3 linked regions of the Drosophila melanogaster genome follow. The protein of the gene in region 1 interacts with the protein of each later gene in a pairwise test. Each region holds a gene or a part of one and is shown on either strand. Other genes may lie near its edges.

Region 1 (3,455 bases):
CGTCTCGAAATCCCGTGAAGCCACCTCCAAATGGAGCGGTTTTCCGCAGTTGTTGGACAGGGCGTCCAAAAGCGTAATCGCCTGCATCACCACATGAGGATCGGTGTGGCCCATGCGGCGCATCACCGCCTTCAGGCAATCCTTGGCCAGGCGGGGATTGGTCGTTACCTTGTCGCATACATCCAAAATCAGAGACCAGTTGTCGTTGGTATTAGTTTCGCTGGTGGCCTTTTCTATAAAACAAGAAAGGCATGAACCGCATTAGCTTATCAGTCAAATAGAAATTTATATTCTGAGTCACAGCAAAACAAAGATAAGCTTCTTCGAAAACTGATTGCAGCTAAAGAAAATCAATACAATCGGAAACTAACTAAATTGCATTAAGGGATGGCGAGGGGGTTGGCTGCGTAAACGGAGGGGGTGTGAGGGGCTGCGGGTGCTACGTCACTCAAGGTCAGCGACTGCCATCTAACAACTCCAATAAGAAGTTCAACGAACGACGCAGAGCTGCGCACAGCATCTCACATGACTTTCTTTGTTGTCTGCTCAATCGGGGGATCGGGTTCATAGGGAAAACAGGGGAAAATGGTGTGGTGTGCGGGTTTTTAGACCCCAGATAAGAATAGAAAACTATGAAACGCATATTGGACCGTTGTGCAGTCCAATTGGAACATCGGCTTGTCCAATCGGCCAACACAACAGCTTAACGATAAGTGGTAACTCACCCACGTCGGCGTCGAATGGCGACGACTGCCCAAAGATTCCCATCTTTATGACCAAACCGCTCGCTCGGCTATCTGCCAATAATCTGCGCTGCCCTGGGGTCAATAAATCCAAATCAGTTGATCTTTGTCTGTTTTCCCTATTGTTTTTCCTCTCCAATCGATTTTCGGTGCGTCACGGCGACTGAAAGCACGCTTTTGGTGTACTTCCTCCTGCGTAGACCTTTTCGCTTTTTTCCAAATCTCTTTTGGGCTGCTTATATCTTTTCGATTAGCCTAAAAACTTCCGAATAGCGCTTGCAAATTCGCTTAATTTACGTTTATTGTGTAAAAAATGACTAATGGCGAGTGTGGCCAGATTGCGAATAGTCGGGAAATCCAAAGGATTTTTTGCAGCTCATTTTCAATGGTTAGTTAGAGGTATTCGAGACTTATATTATGCAAAACATTTTTATTTATATATACATATAAATATTATTGATATTGTATATTTAAATAAATTTAGACAACTAATAATATAAATCTATTAAACATCTGATATGATTTGAGCACTGGTAGCTATGGTTTATAATAATTAAACAGTTTTCTATGCCCTTCACTCAAACTATTCTCCTACGGGTGAGAAGCGTATATTATAATAACTATGCACAATATAAGAACAAAACTAGAAGATTAATTTTTATTTAAGAAACATGAAAATATTTTATTATACGTTGACCGAATTTAAAAATACAGTGACTTAACTGCTTCACTGAGAGTCACAGAATAACTCGATTCTAGCATGCGGTCACACTAATCTCAGCATTCGAAAAAAACGCGCAAACAAAAGGGACGCTTATAGAAAATACAACTTAAAATAATTAATTTACTTAAAAATCATAATATTATAAACAAGTCAGCGCCATGACGCTTTCCCGCGCGAAGCACGCCAACCGCAACCACCTGCCGCACCTGCTGGCCAAGGTGCCCGAGGAGCACCAGGAGCCGATCAAGAATATGTGCCTCAAGATGATGTCCCACGACGCATACGGACAGCCGTACGTACAAGCAATAAGCTAATGTATCAATCCGTACTTAATCTGCTCCCTCCAGATACGATTGGAGTCCCCGGGACTTTGAGATGGGCGCCCACTTGGGACGCGGCAAATTTGGACGTGTCTACTTGGCGCGGGAGCGCCACTCGCACTATCTGGTGGCCATGAAGGTGATGTTCAAAGAGGAGCTGCGCAAGGGCTGCGTGCAGCGTCAGGTTCTACGCGAGATCGAGATCCAGTCGCGACTGAAGCACCCGCACATCCTGCGCCTGCTCACTTGGTTCCACGACGAGAGCCGCATCTATCTGGCCCTGGAAATTGCGTCCGAGGGCGAGCTGTTCAAGCACCTGCGTGGCGCACCCAATCATCGATTCGATGAACCGCGGTCTGCGAAGTACACCTACCAAGTGGCGAATGCCCTCAACTACTGTCACCTGAACAACGTGATCCATCGGGATCTGAAGCCGGAGAACATTCTGCTAACCAGCACGGACGACCTTAAGCTGGCCGACTTTGGTTGGTCGGCGCACACGCCGAACAACAAGCGCAGGACTCTGTGCGGCACCCTGGACTATCTGCCGCCGGAGATGGTGGATGGGAACTCCTACGACGACTCGGTGGACCAGTGGTGCCTGGGCATTCTGTGCTACGAGTTCGTCGTCGGCTGTCCGCCCTTCGAGTCGAACAGCACGGAGAGCACCTACAGCAAGATCCGGCGCATGGAGATCTCCTACCCATCGCATTTGTCCAAGGGCTGCAAGGAATTGATTGGCGGGGTGAGTTGGAAGATGTTTCCTTTGAGATCCATTTATTGAACAGGGATTTCATCTTTGCAGCTGCTTCGCAAGGAAAGCAAGGGCCGCATCACCTTGGTGGATGTGATGACCCATTATTGGGTGAAGGCGGGAATGGCCGAAAGGGAGCTGCAGCTGCAGAAACGGGAGCGCGGCAAGGAGAACACGGCCAGAAATTGACTGGTTTCGAGTTTGCATTGTGTAACGACTTATTTCAGATTTTACTTTTATGTTTAATAAACGGTTTATAAGATTTAATGAAGTTTGGAGTATATTTTTGAAATCTGAAAACTGCTTAAAAATAAAAATCTATTGGTAGTAACTTACTTAAATTACCTTTTTCTAATTTAACCCCTTTTAAATTAATTTTTCTAAGCCCATGCCTTACTTAGTTCCAGTTCGTGGGCCATGCTATATTTTCGCGCTTCCCGCAAACGGTCACCCTAAATAAATAAATGACAATTTCAAGCGTAAAATAAGCCCTAAAATTTCGATGAAACGCTCGATTTGTGAATCGTGCACCCAGCAGTGAGTGGGCAAAGTGCGGCAGCCGACGAGACCGCCACCAGGAGCCTCGTATCCCGCCCAGCAGTGGATCGGTGGTCGCCAGACGAGCCGAGGAACTACAGCAACAATTGTTATTTTTCGGCCCTCGATTTTCAGGGGGAGGGGGGCTAGGAACATCAGCCCCTTCGGTTTCTAATTGAATTAAATAGAAGGGGCGGAGAGGCAATATCACCCAGGTCAGTCCAACAAGACGCAGGCAGCAGAGCAATGGTTTTTATCCGAGATCCCTGTGGCATCGCCTGCTTGGTAGTCACCTACGGAGCAGTTCTGTACGCGGACTATGTGGTCATCCGTTGGATCATTCTGACCACCATGCCGGGCAGGTGAGTAATGCATAC
Region 2 (4,681 bases), on another chromosome or scaffold:
GTAGCCCTGGCTTTGTTATTCTTGCACTGCAGCCCTGCTCATGACGCAAGTGACGTCACAGTCGCACACTTTGTTTGTCCACTGGCACACACACACACGCGTTGGCACACGCACACCACGACAAAGAAGGAGGACAGGCACACAAGGAATTTCAACCCCCAGCGAGAAGAATAACAACAACCCAGCACGGAAAAAATCGCTGCATACGTTCAGGCGGAGCGTGTCCTCTTTGGGGGGAATAGTAGTGGCGATAAAAGAGTGCGGGGGAGCGTGGGCGCGACGGCGGGGGAGCAGCGAGTTGAGAGCGGAGCAGGCGCAAGAAGAGCGCTCGAGAGAACCGGGGAGAGCGCTCGAAGGATATTCGAGAGCGACGCAGGCGCCTGGCCGCCAAAGCAGCGACGCCGGCCGAGGCATCGACGTCGCAGTCGACAGAACCACCACCACCCGCACGGGCACGGAAACAAGGAGCTGCATCCATCCGTCCGCCCATCGCCAACCATTACCACCCACCACCCCTTGATGGCGCTGCTGAAGCTGCCGCTGCTGCTGCTGCTGCTACTGCTACTGCTGCTGGTGGCACCGAAACACAACAAACCGTAAACCATTGGCGCTGGCAGCGACGTTGCGTCGGCGTTCGCGACTGTTGGAATGACAGGATGTTGGCTGCAGACTCAGCGGGGTGCGATTGTGGGCGGATGGGTGGCCCATGGTCAATGATGAAGGGGGGGCGGGGAGTGTGGGGAGGTTGGCGGCCGAACGACTGCTTCGCAGCAGCCTTACCACCACATAAACAAAAATTCGATTTATGACCACTGGTGGGAGTGGCACGGGCGCTCACGGGCTTCGCATGGATTTTTGGGGGTGGCGCCAATTCGCTTTGCTCCTGCCACTCGCTTCTGAATCCTTTCAAACTGCGAAAAATTACTGGGTTGTGTAAGAGTTAAATGTATAACATTAATTAATGCGGTGCTTAAAATTAGTTTCCATATACGTAACATAATATAAAAATATATCATAGAAGAATTTAGACCCTGAATCCGAAATTACTACTGGTTCTTTGTTAAAATTTAAGTGTTGCCACTTCAGCAAATTTGGAACTTTTTGGAATTTTTTTTTCGAATTTTTTCTAACAGTGCAATCGCGACTAATATCCAACCAGCAGAGTTCTGGTTATCGTTGTTGTTGCTGTCGTCGTCATCTCAATTCGCGAGTGCACGCACACATGCAAACGCGGACGGGCAGGAACACCCCCACACACGCTTACACGAACACCGAGAAGGAATCGCGACATCAAAAACAGCGACAGGACACGACGTCGAAGTCGCGACTTCAGCGAGGAGCTTTTTCGACAGTGCGAGCGCGAGAGAGAAGGGGAGAGAGAGCGGCCGAGAGATACTGAGCGAGAGAGAGAGCGAGTAAGCGCGTAAGTGAGAAAGAGGGAGAAAGGCTCTCCGTAAACCAGTCGCTTGATTGTGTGTGTGTGTGAGTGATTTTTGGGGTTTGGGGGGCTTTAGCGGCTTCGCAGGACTTTTTCGCAACGGAGAGCCGAGGAGGAAGTGGCGCTGCCGGCGCCGCCGTCTCTGTCGGCGTCGCTGCCTTCCGTTGCGACTGCGGCGAGGACATACACATAAATAAAAAGTCCTTCATTCCGTCGCGACCAGCGAGTAACGGCATATGAGCGCTCGCAGAGAAATCGCTAATCACGAACGGCGGACGACAAAAGCCCAAGAAGAACAGGCAGAGGGAAAAAAGAAAGCAAAAAATGAAAAAGGATTGCCAACAGGAGCAGCAGTTAAATAATTAAACAAGTGCCAGATCGCAAAACAACAGTGTGCAATTTTTTTTTTAACAAGTTATTTTCGAGTGAAAAGCCGTGGAAAACTGTGTGTAAGAAAGGCTACCAGCAAGAAGGCTCAAGGAGCAGAAGAAGGCGAGGCGTCTAGCACAGCCGACCCCCCACCACCCAAACCACCCACAACCTCCCCCCGTCCCCCTCGTCACTCAACGTGTATTGGCACAAGGCGAAAACCGCCACCGCCTCGCGTGCTCTCTCTCTCTCTCTATCGCCCTCTTTTCTCCCACTCTCTTTTTAGTCCTTTCGTTGGGTGTCAAACCAATACACTTGCACGCACACCCTCGTCCTCCAAAAAAAAGAAATAGTAACGAAATTATTGAAACAGCGAACACAACAATAACAACAAAATATCCAGGCAGCTTGCAAGTCACTTGTCAAAATCTAAAAAAACTGTTCTGTTTTTGTTTTTTTTTTTTCGTGACTATTGTGGAAATACAATTCTCAAAAATTCGCAAACTAACGTTGTGTGTGCGTGTCTGTGTGTGTGCGTTTGGAGTCTGAGTTTTCATAACAAGCAGCTCTCTTGGCCACAAAAACCCAACCGCAAGCCAAGAATATGCCACGAAAATAAGCAGATTGATTCTAAACGACACGTTCGAGTGATAGATCCCATGTTGTTTGACTTATTGAATATTCAATAACTACCAATAAAGAAATTCCACCGGGCTAGCGAAAAAATGCCGATAAAGTAAACATTCCCAATATACATAATAAAAAAAAGTGCTGGTGGCATTATTAAAAAAATACAAATATTAAAAACAAGAAAAATCAAAGTGGCAGAGTTGCCACCCGGCGAAAGGACAGAAACTTCAGCGAGTGGCTTTCGGTGAACGGTTTTTTTACTGCTACATATCTCGCGTAGCGCCTCCATCGCTGTCGCTGTCGCAGTCGCAGTCGGCGTCTGCGTCGACGTTGGCAGTGACAGCTCTGTCAGTTTTCAGTTTTTCCTTTTTGCTTCACACGTATGCTTTTTATTTCTCGAATAAAATAACAAAATACAGAAACCTGCAGTGTACAACTGAAAAGCGAGAATCTTTGTAAAAGCGATGCAACAGCAACGACAACAACGACAGCATCACCAACAACAACAAAAAGTGTAGTGGGTCGCACGCGCGACTTGTGTGTGTGAATAATGAAGAAGAAGCAGAAGCAGAAGCAACAACAACAGCAGCAGCAGAGGCAGAGCAAGGCGCCATCTGAAGCGGAATCGGAGGCAGACCGCCCCGGCAGCAACAGCAGCAGCACCAGCAACAACAAGCATTCGCGTCGCAGCAGCGCCGGCAGCAACAACAACAAATAGCAAAAACTTAGCAGCGTTCGGCAAAGCGCAGCAAAAGCAACAAAGGCAACACTAAAACTAACAGCAGCAACACCAATTGCAACTGCAGCACCAGCAGCATCAACAACAACAACAACCAAGCGGCGGCAAGTTAGCAGCAGCAACAACAACACTAGCAATCACAAGAACAACAGCAAACGCTGCAGTCGCAGCAGCAGCAGCAGCAGCAGCTGCAGTAGCAGCAGCAGCAGCAGCAGCAACGCTAGCGTCGGCAGCAGCATGTCCAAAACAAGTAGCGGTAATCCAGCAGCAGCAGGTGCAACAAATGCCGCGAATGCCGCTGACTTCAGTGCTTTCGATTTTAACGATAGTTCCGATAACTCCGACACTCCCCTCGTGCCACGCCCACCGTTCCTGAGTCGCGCCGCTGCAACGGCAGCCGCAGCAGCAGCTGCAGCAGCAGCGCTCAGCATCAGTAACAACAGCAACAATTCGGCGGGATCAGCGGGTCAGCTGCCGCACAGCACGAGCAGCAGTAGCAACAACAATAACAACAACAACAATAACAATGGGGCTAACTCCGTTAACAGCAACGCCAACAACAATAACTATGGCCACAGCAGCAGCAGCTCGCAGAGCAGCATGGACGAAGAGGAAGAGGACGACGAGGAGGAGGACGAAGAGGAGGAGGAGGAGCAGGATGTGTCGCAGCAACAGCAGCAGCAACAACAATTGGCGGCGGAGCAGCAGCAACGGGCTGCAGCAGCGGCAGCTGTAGTTGCAGCAGCAGTTAGTGCGCTGCACAACGGCAACAAGCAGCAGCACTACAACAACAATAATAACAACAACAATAACGGTAACACCAAGTCACGTGATCGCGCCGATCATCATCTGCAGTCGCAGCAGCAGCAAGAGCACGACGATGACGAGGATGACGACGAGGAGGAGGGCGAGGAGGACGAGGATGAGGATGACGAGGAGCAGCACCAGGAGCAGCAGCAGCAACATCAGGGCAATGGGCATGATCTCACGCCCACGGACCTGCGACATGTGATGCCGGCTAGCAACAACTTGCAGCAACAGCATACGCAGCAGCAACAGGAACCGGCTGCCTACGACGATGAGGGGGAGGAGGAGGACGAGGATGATGACGACGAGGACGAGGTGGCCAGCAGTCATCTGGACAGCCGCGCCACCCTCTCCTCCGGCCATCTGAACAGTGCGGCCGCCGCCGAAAGCAGCGGCCTGCACATGAGCGTTGCAGCAGCGGCAGCTGCAGCAGCAGCGGCGGCAGCAGCCGTTTCCGCAGCCAAGCTGAACGCCCAGCTGGAGCAGCAGCAGAGTGCCAATGCCTTGGACATGGCCAGCGGGAGCAGTGCCACGCCCATAGCGCCGCCACCGCCAAGTAGCTTGCTGGGCGGTAACAGCAACACAAGCTTCTCCACGAACAACAACAGCAACCATGCGCTAAGCTCGACGCACGGCAGCTTGGGTCCGGGCGGACAGGGCACCAATTGCAGCAACGATCTGATGGCCACCGGTGGCGG
Region 3 (4,184 bases), on another chromosome or scaffold:
TCAAGGCTTACTGTTGCCACCCCCTTCCTACCAAAAGATTTGTATAGTAACTATAAATGCCCCAACAATACCCATTATGCATTGTAAAGAAGCGGTGTGTTGTCCACTTCGATGTACTCAGATATCAATGAATGTAAACATATTGATTACATAAAAACGTTCACTTAGTGCAGCAACTTGCGATAACCTACAAATGTATTTGTTAAATTAAATACTATATACATATATATTATATATATTTACGGATTGTATGTGTAATACGAATAATGCGCCCTGTTAAATGCAACAAGGAGATAGGGATCTCAGCAAATATACAAGTATAAATTAATCATTTAGAGTTCGTGTGCGTTATAAAACAAAAAGGTAGTGAAAGAAACATAAAACAAAATTTACTCATTTAAAACTTAATGATCGATTTAAATAGCGAACCCAGCCATAAAATCGGCTTGAACATTTGCGAAACACTATTGTAATAGATAAACTCCTCAAGCAAGATTCTCAACTGGACAGCCCCTCAAGAAATAATAATAAATACATATTTTTAAAAATTAACCCAAAATCACTAAGGTATTCTCTTTGCGTTAGTAGCAATATTTTTGCGTGTATTTAAAAGGTGACAAACATTTCATCTGAAAATGTACTCGGTACAATATCTTATCATCTAGTTTTTAAAAAACATTTTTTTTGTATTTCTTCTCCTTGCTTATTTTTGTAGTCGTTTCTTCTTTTGAAAACTCTGGAGCTAAATTAGGTCGTTGTTTGGTTTTCCACTCTTCTACAGTTAGATCACTCCACTGATTTATGCCCTTCTTGAAAGATTCCACTCCCAATTCGAACTGCTCATTGTGTTCCTGAATCGCTTTCCAATTGTCGCAAAATATAGTTCGGCGTTTTTCTGTTTCTTTTTCATCTTGATATTTCGCACCGAAATCAATCTGTAATAAAGATATATTCATTCAAATTCTCAAATTCTATTTACATTGCAAGCCAAATATTACCAAAAACTTTTTCCATGCTGCCTGACATGTATTATCATCCCTCTTATCCTTAGATATTTTTGTAGTAGCTTCAACTTTAGAAAACTCTGGATTAAAAGCAGGTCGTTGTTTGTTTTTCCACTCCTCAACGGTCAAATCACTCCACTGATTTATACCCTTCTTAAAAGAAATATTTCCCAAATCGAATTGAACATTGTGCTTATGTATCGACTTAAAGTTGTCGCAAAATACATTTCGTCGCTTTTCGGTTTCAGTATCATCTTGATAAGACGGCTTAAAGTCAATCTGCAATTGATAAAAGCAACTTTAATAAAAATTCTTTAAATACCCAACCATATCTTACCAGGAACTTCTCCCAAGCCGGCTGGCATATGATATTATCATTATCTATTTCGGATGTAGATGTAGTGGCTTCTTCCTTACGAATCTCGGGAGCAGGACTAGATCGTTCCTCAATAGTATGATCAGTCCACTGATTTATGTCCCTCTTGAAGGGCTCTGCCCACTTTTCATACTGCACATTGTGCTCCACAATCGCCCTCCAGTTTGCACAAAATACATTGCGGCGTTTCTCGGTTTCATTTGCATTCTTATACTGCGCTCCAAAGTCAATCTGTAATTCATATCATACATATTAATACCAAGTTGGTTTTAATAACCTAGCTAATCTTACCAAAAACTTTTCCCATGCAGCCTGGCAATTGACTTTGTCTCGCTCCTCCTTTGATGATTCACTAGCGATTTCTGGCATAACTTTGGGAGTTTGTTTCTCTTTCCACTCTTCAAAGGTAAGATCACTCCACTGGTTGATACCCTTCTTGAAGCTGACAACTCCCAAATCGTATTTCAAATTGTGATCGCGAACTTTTTGCCAATTTTCGCAGAATATATCACGTCGCTTTTGCCGTTCGTAGTCATTATCGTAGTGTACATCAAAGTCGACCTTGGAGTGTATACAAATAACTTCCTTGAACGATACCCTTTCTTGGAATTATGCGATCAAAAAACTTACCAAGAACCTTTGCCATGCAAACTGGCATTCCTCCTCGAACTCAGATAAGCCAGAGGTGTGTTCAATTGTGGGTGTCGATGAGTCAGCGTCGCTTTTCCCAGTAGTAACCCCAATCTCTGGATTGATTTTTTGTGTAGCAGGTGATGATGTGCTTACTGGTACGCCCAGAGCCACGCCCATCAAATACAGGAGCAGTGGGACGCCAAGTAAAATTCGAGCTGAGGTCATCTTGAACACTTTTCTCGTACTGCGCTCCGCACTGCCAGAATCGCGAATTATATGGGGAATACATACATATATAATTGCAAGTACTCAAAATCAGCTGCATTCAGAGAGAAATCTAAATAAAAACCGACAACGAGAGCGATTTCTTTTGCTCTCTTTTCTCTTAAGTGTTGATCTTTTAAAAGAGTAACTGCATTTACGTGACCTTGCCCACCAAATATATAACAACTGGCATAATTGCTTTATGATTTGTTGCAATAGTATTGAATTAAATTAATTTGAAATTTAAGCCCCGTTTTTATACCCATTACTCGGCGGGAATACTAGGCTCGTTGATAGGAATGTAACAACTACATTCTAGATATGTATGTGTTTTCCACACAAATGCTGTAAACAAACGTTACGCTGCTTGCAGCTTTTTCTGATTAACGGGTATGCATTAGTCGTGACACCCGACTGTAGCGTTATTTCTTGTTTATATTAAATTTGTCGCAAATTTACACGGTTATACGGTTATGTGTGCATTGTTCATTTTCTATCCACTTTGCCAAATTGAAATTTATTACTTTCTCAAACAACTTCCCACACAGCGTTGTTCTTCATTAAGAAAATGTTTCTCAAAAAATAAATAAGACCGAAAATTAATTTTTGTGTGCATAGCCGTTAAGACTACGATCCAATTTCTCAGAATTTCCCCAGAAAGCAACACAAACCGATAAGGCACTTGTTTCATTTATTAACCGCGTGACTCATGGAATCGATGTGGTGACCCACACAGCTTACGACTACAGTAACAAAGTTATAAATTCGTGGTTTTTAATTGACTATACTATCTAACTAATTGCATGGCGCAGTTGTGAGCCTACAGAATGGGGTAGCTGCACTCGCTGGCGATGCCGCAGAATCCACCTGCATTCCGGAGGATGCGCATAAAGCCGCCCTCGCCCCAATTCTGAGAGTACGAGTTCTTGATGATCCAGTAGTCGCGTCCATTTTCCGTTCCATAGCCCACCACGGTTACCGAGTGATTCAGTTCGCCCTGATTGCACTCCTCGTCCTCGTAGATGCCACCGCTGTACTGCTCAAACGAAATGGTGTCCGCGTTCATGGAGCACGCCAACGGTCCCAACGTGGCAATCACCTCCTTCATCTTCTCCTCATCCCCGGGAGTAATGGTGGCATAATCGCGAATTTTCACCAGACTCTCGCGCGGTGGACGTCCGGCGGTTTCGTTCTGACGGCACTGCATCTCCGTCTGTGTGTACGGATATTTGTTGGCCAGCGTTACACCGTGATCGCGTATGTACTCGAAACCGTACTCCTGGAAGCCACCGTCACAGCCCATGTTGCCGTAGTCATCGGCACAGTCCACCAGATTCTGCTGCGACAGCGAGGCCAGCACTCCAGTCCGCCGGAATAGATGTCCTTCGAGCGCTCCTGTGGTGGCGAACGACCAGCAGGCACCGCATCCCACACCCTGGAATCCCGGTGGCGTCACTCCGCCCTTCTCGCGCCAATCGAACATCTCGGGAAGATTGGCACTCGCCGGATTCCTGGCAGTCACAAAGTTGATATGGCCATTCGTATATCTCCTGCAAGGTAAGTAAAACATTTTAGTATTCCGTTAAGCAAAGATTAAAGCAAATTAGTAGCTTACTTAAGTGGCAACCAGACTACATTTAAATGTTATTCATAATGTTCTTAAATGTATGACAAACAACCGATAAGTTATGAAACATTTGTTATGGAGCTTCGTCGTAATAAATAAGTTCGATATGGAAGGGTTTTGTTTGTTTCCACCCATTTGGTTATAGTTTTCGGGAAACCACAAACCTATGGTCGGAATATTTGATCAATTCTGATTTCTTGATTAGCATAACCGGGAAACCAATCGGCACCTACGTAACGTTACAAATCATATGGACGACGATACCGAAACCCGTTTGAAA

The links.
Region 2: the proteins of aurB (region 1) and CG43347 interact in a two-hybrid assay, tested with the Drosophila melanogaster proteins (one large-scale study listed by BioGRID).
Region 3: the proteins of aurB (region 1) and CG6357 interact in a two-hybrid assay, tested with the Drosophila melanogaster proteins (one large-scale study listed by BioGRID).

Annotation. Positions count from the first base shown.
Region 1 is NT_033779.5:10,856,148-10,859,602, reverse strand, and holds aurB (aurora B), read left to right. Parts: upstream 1-1,508; 5' UTR 1,509-1,625; coding exon 1,626-1,759; intron 1,760-1,814; coding exon 1,815-2,532; intron 2,533-2,592; coding exon 2,593-2,730; 3' UTR 2,731-2,806; downstream 2,807-3,455. Other genes in the region: Stam (signal transducing adaptor molecule), read right to left, coding at 1-233, 726-768; Dnz1 (DNZDHHC/NEW1 zinc finger protein 11), read left to right, coding at 3,325-3,440. UniProt on the Drosophila melanogaster protein: Serine/threonine-protein kinase that mediates both meiotic and mitotic chromosome segregation. Required for histone H3 'Ser-10' phosphorylation. Phosphorylates mei-S332 within residues 124-126 and stabilizes its association with centromeres during meiosis.
Region 2 is NC_004354.4:10,617,172-10,621,852, reverse strand, and holds the start of CG43347 (uncharacterized protein), read left to right. Parts: upstream 1-1,662; 5' UTR 1,663-1,887; intron 1,888-2,856; exon of another isoform or gene 2,857-2,866; 5' UTR 2,867-2,987; coding exon 2,988-3,120; intron 3,121-3,243; coding exon 3,244-4,681.
Region 3 is NT_033778.4:13,838,132-13,842,315, reverse strand, and holds CG6357 (uncharacterized protein), read right to left. Parts: upstream 2,264-4,184; 5' UTR 2,239-2,263; coding exon 2,011-2,238; intron 1,942-2,010; coding exon 1,672-1,941; intron 1,612-1,671; coding exon 1,342-1,611; intron 1,284-1,341; coding exon 999-1,283; intron 936-998; coding exon 669-935; 3' UTR 573-668; downstream 1-572. Other genes in the region: CtsL2 (cathepsin L2), read right to left, coding at 3,098-3,827.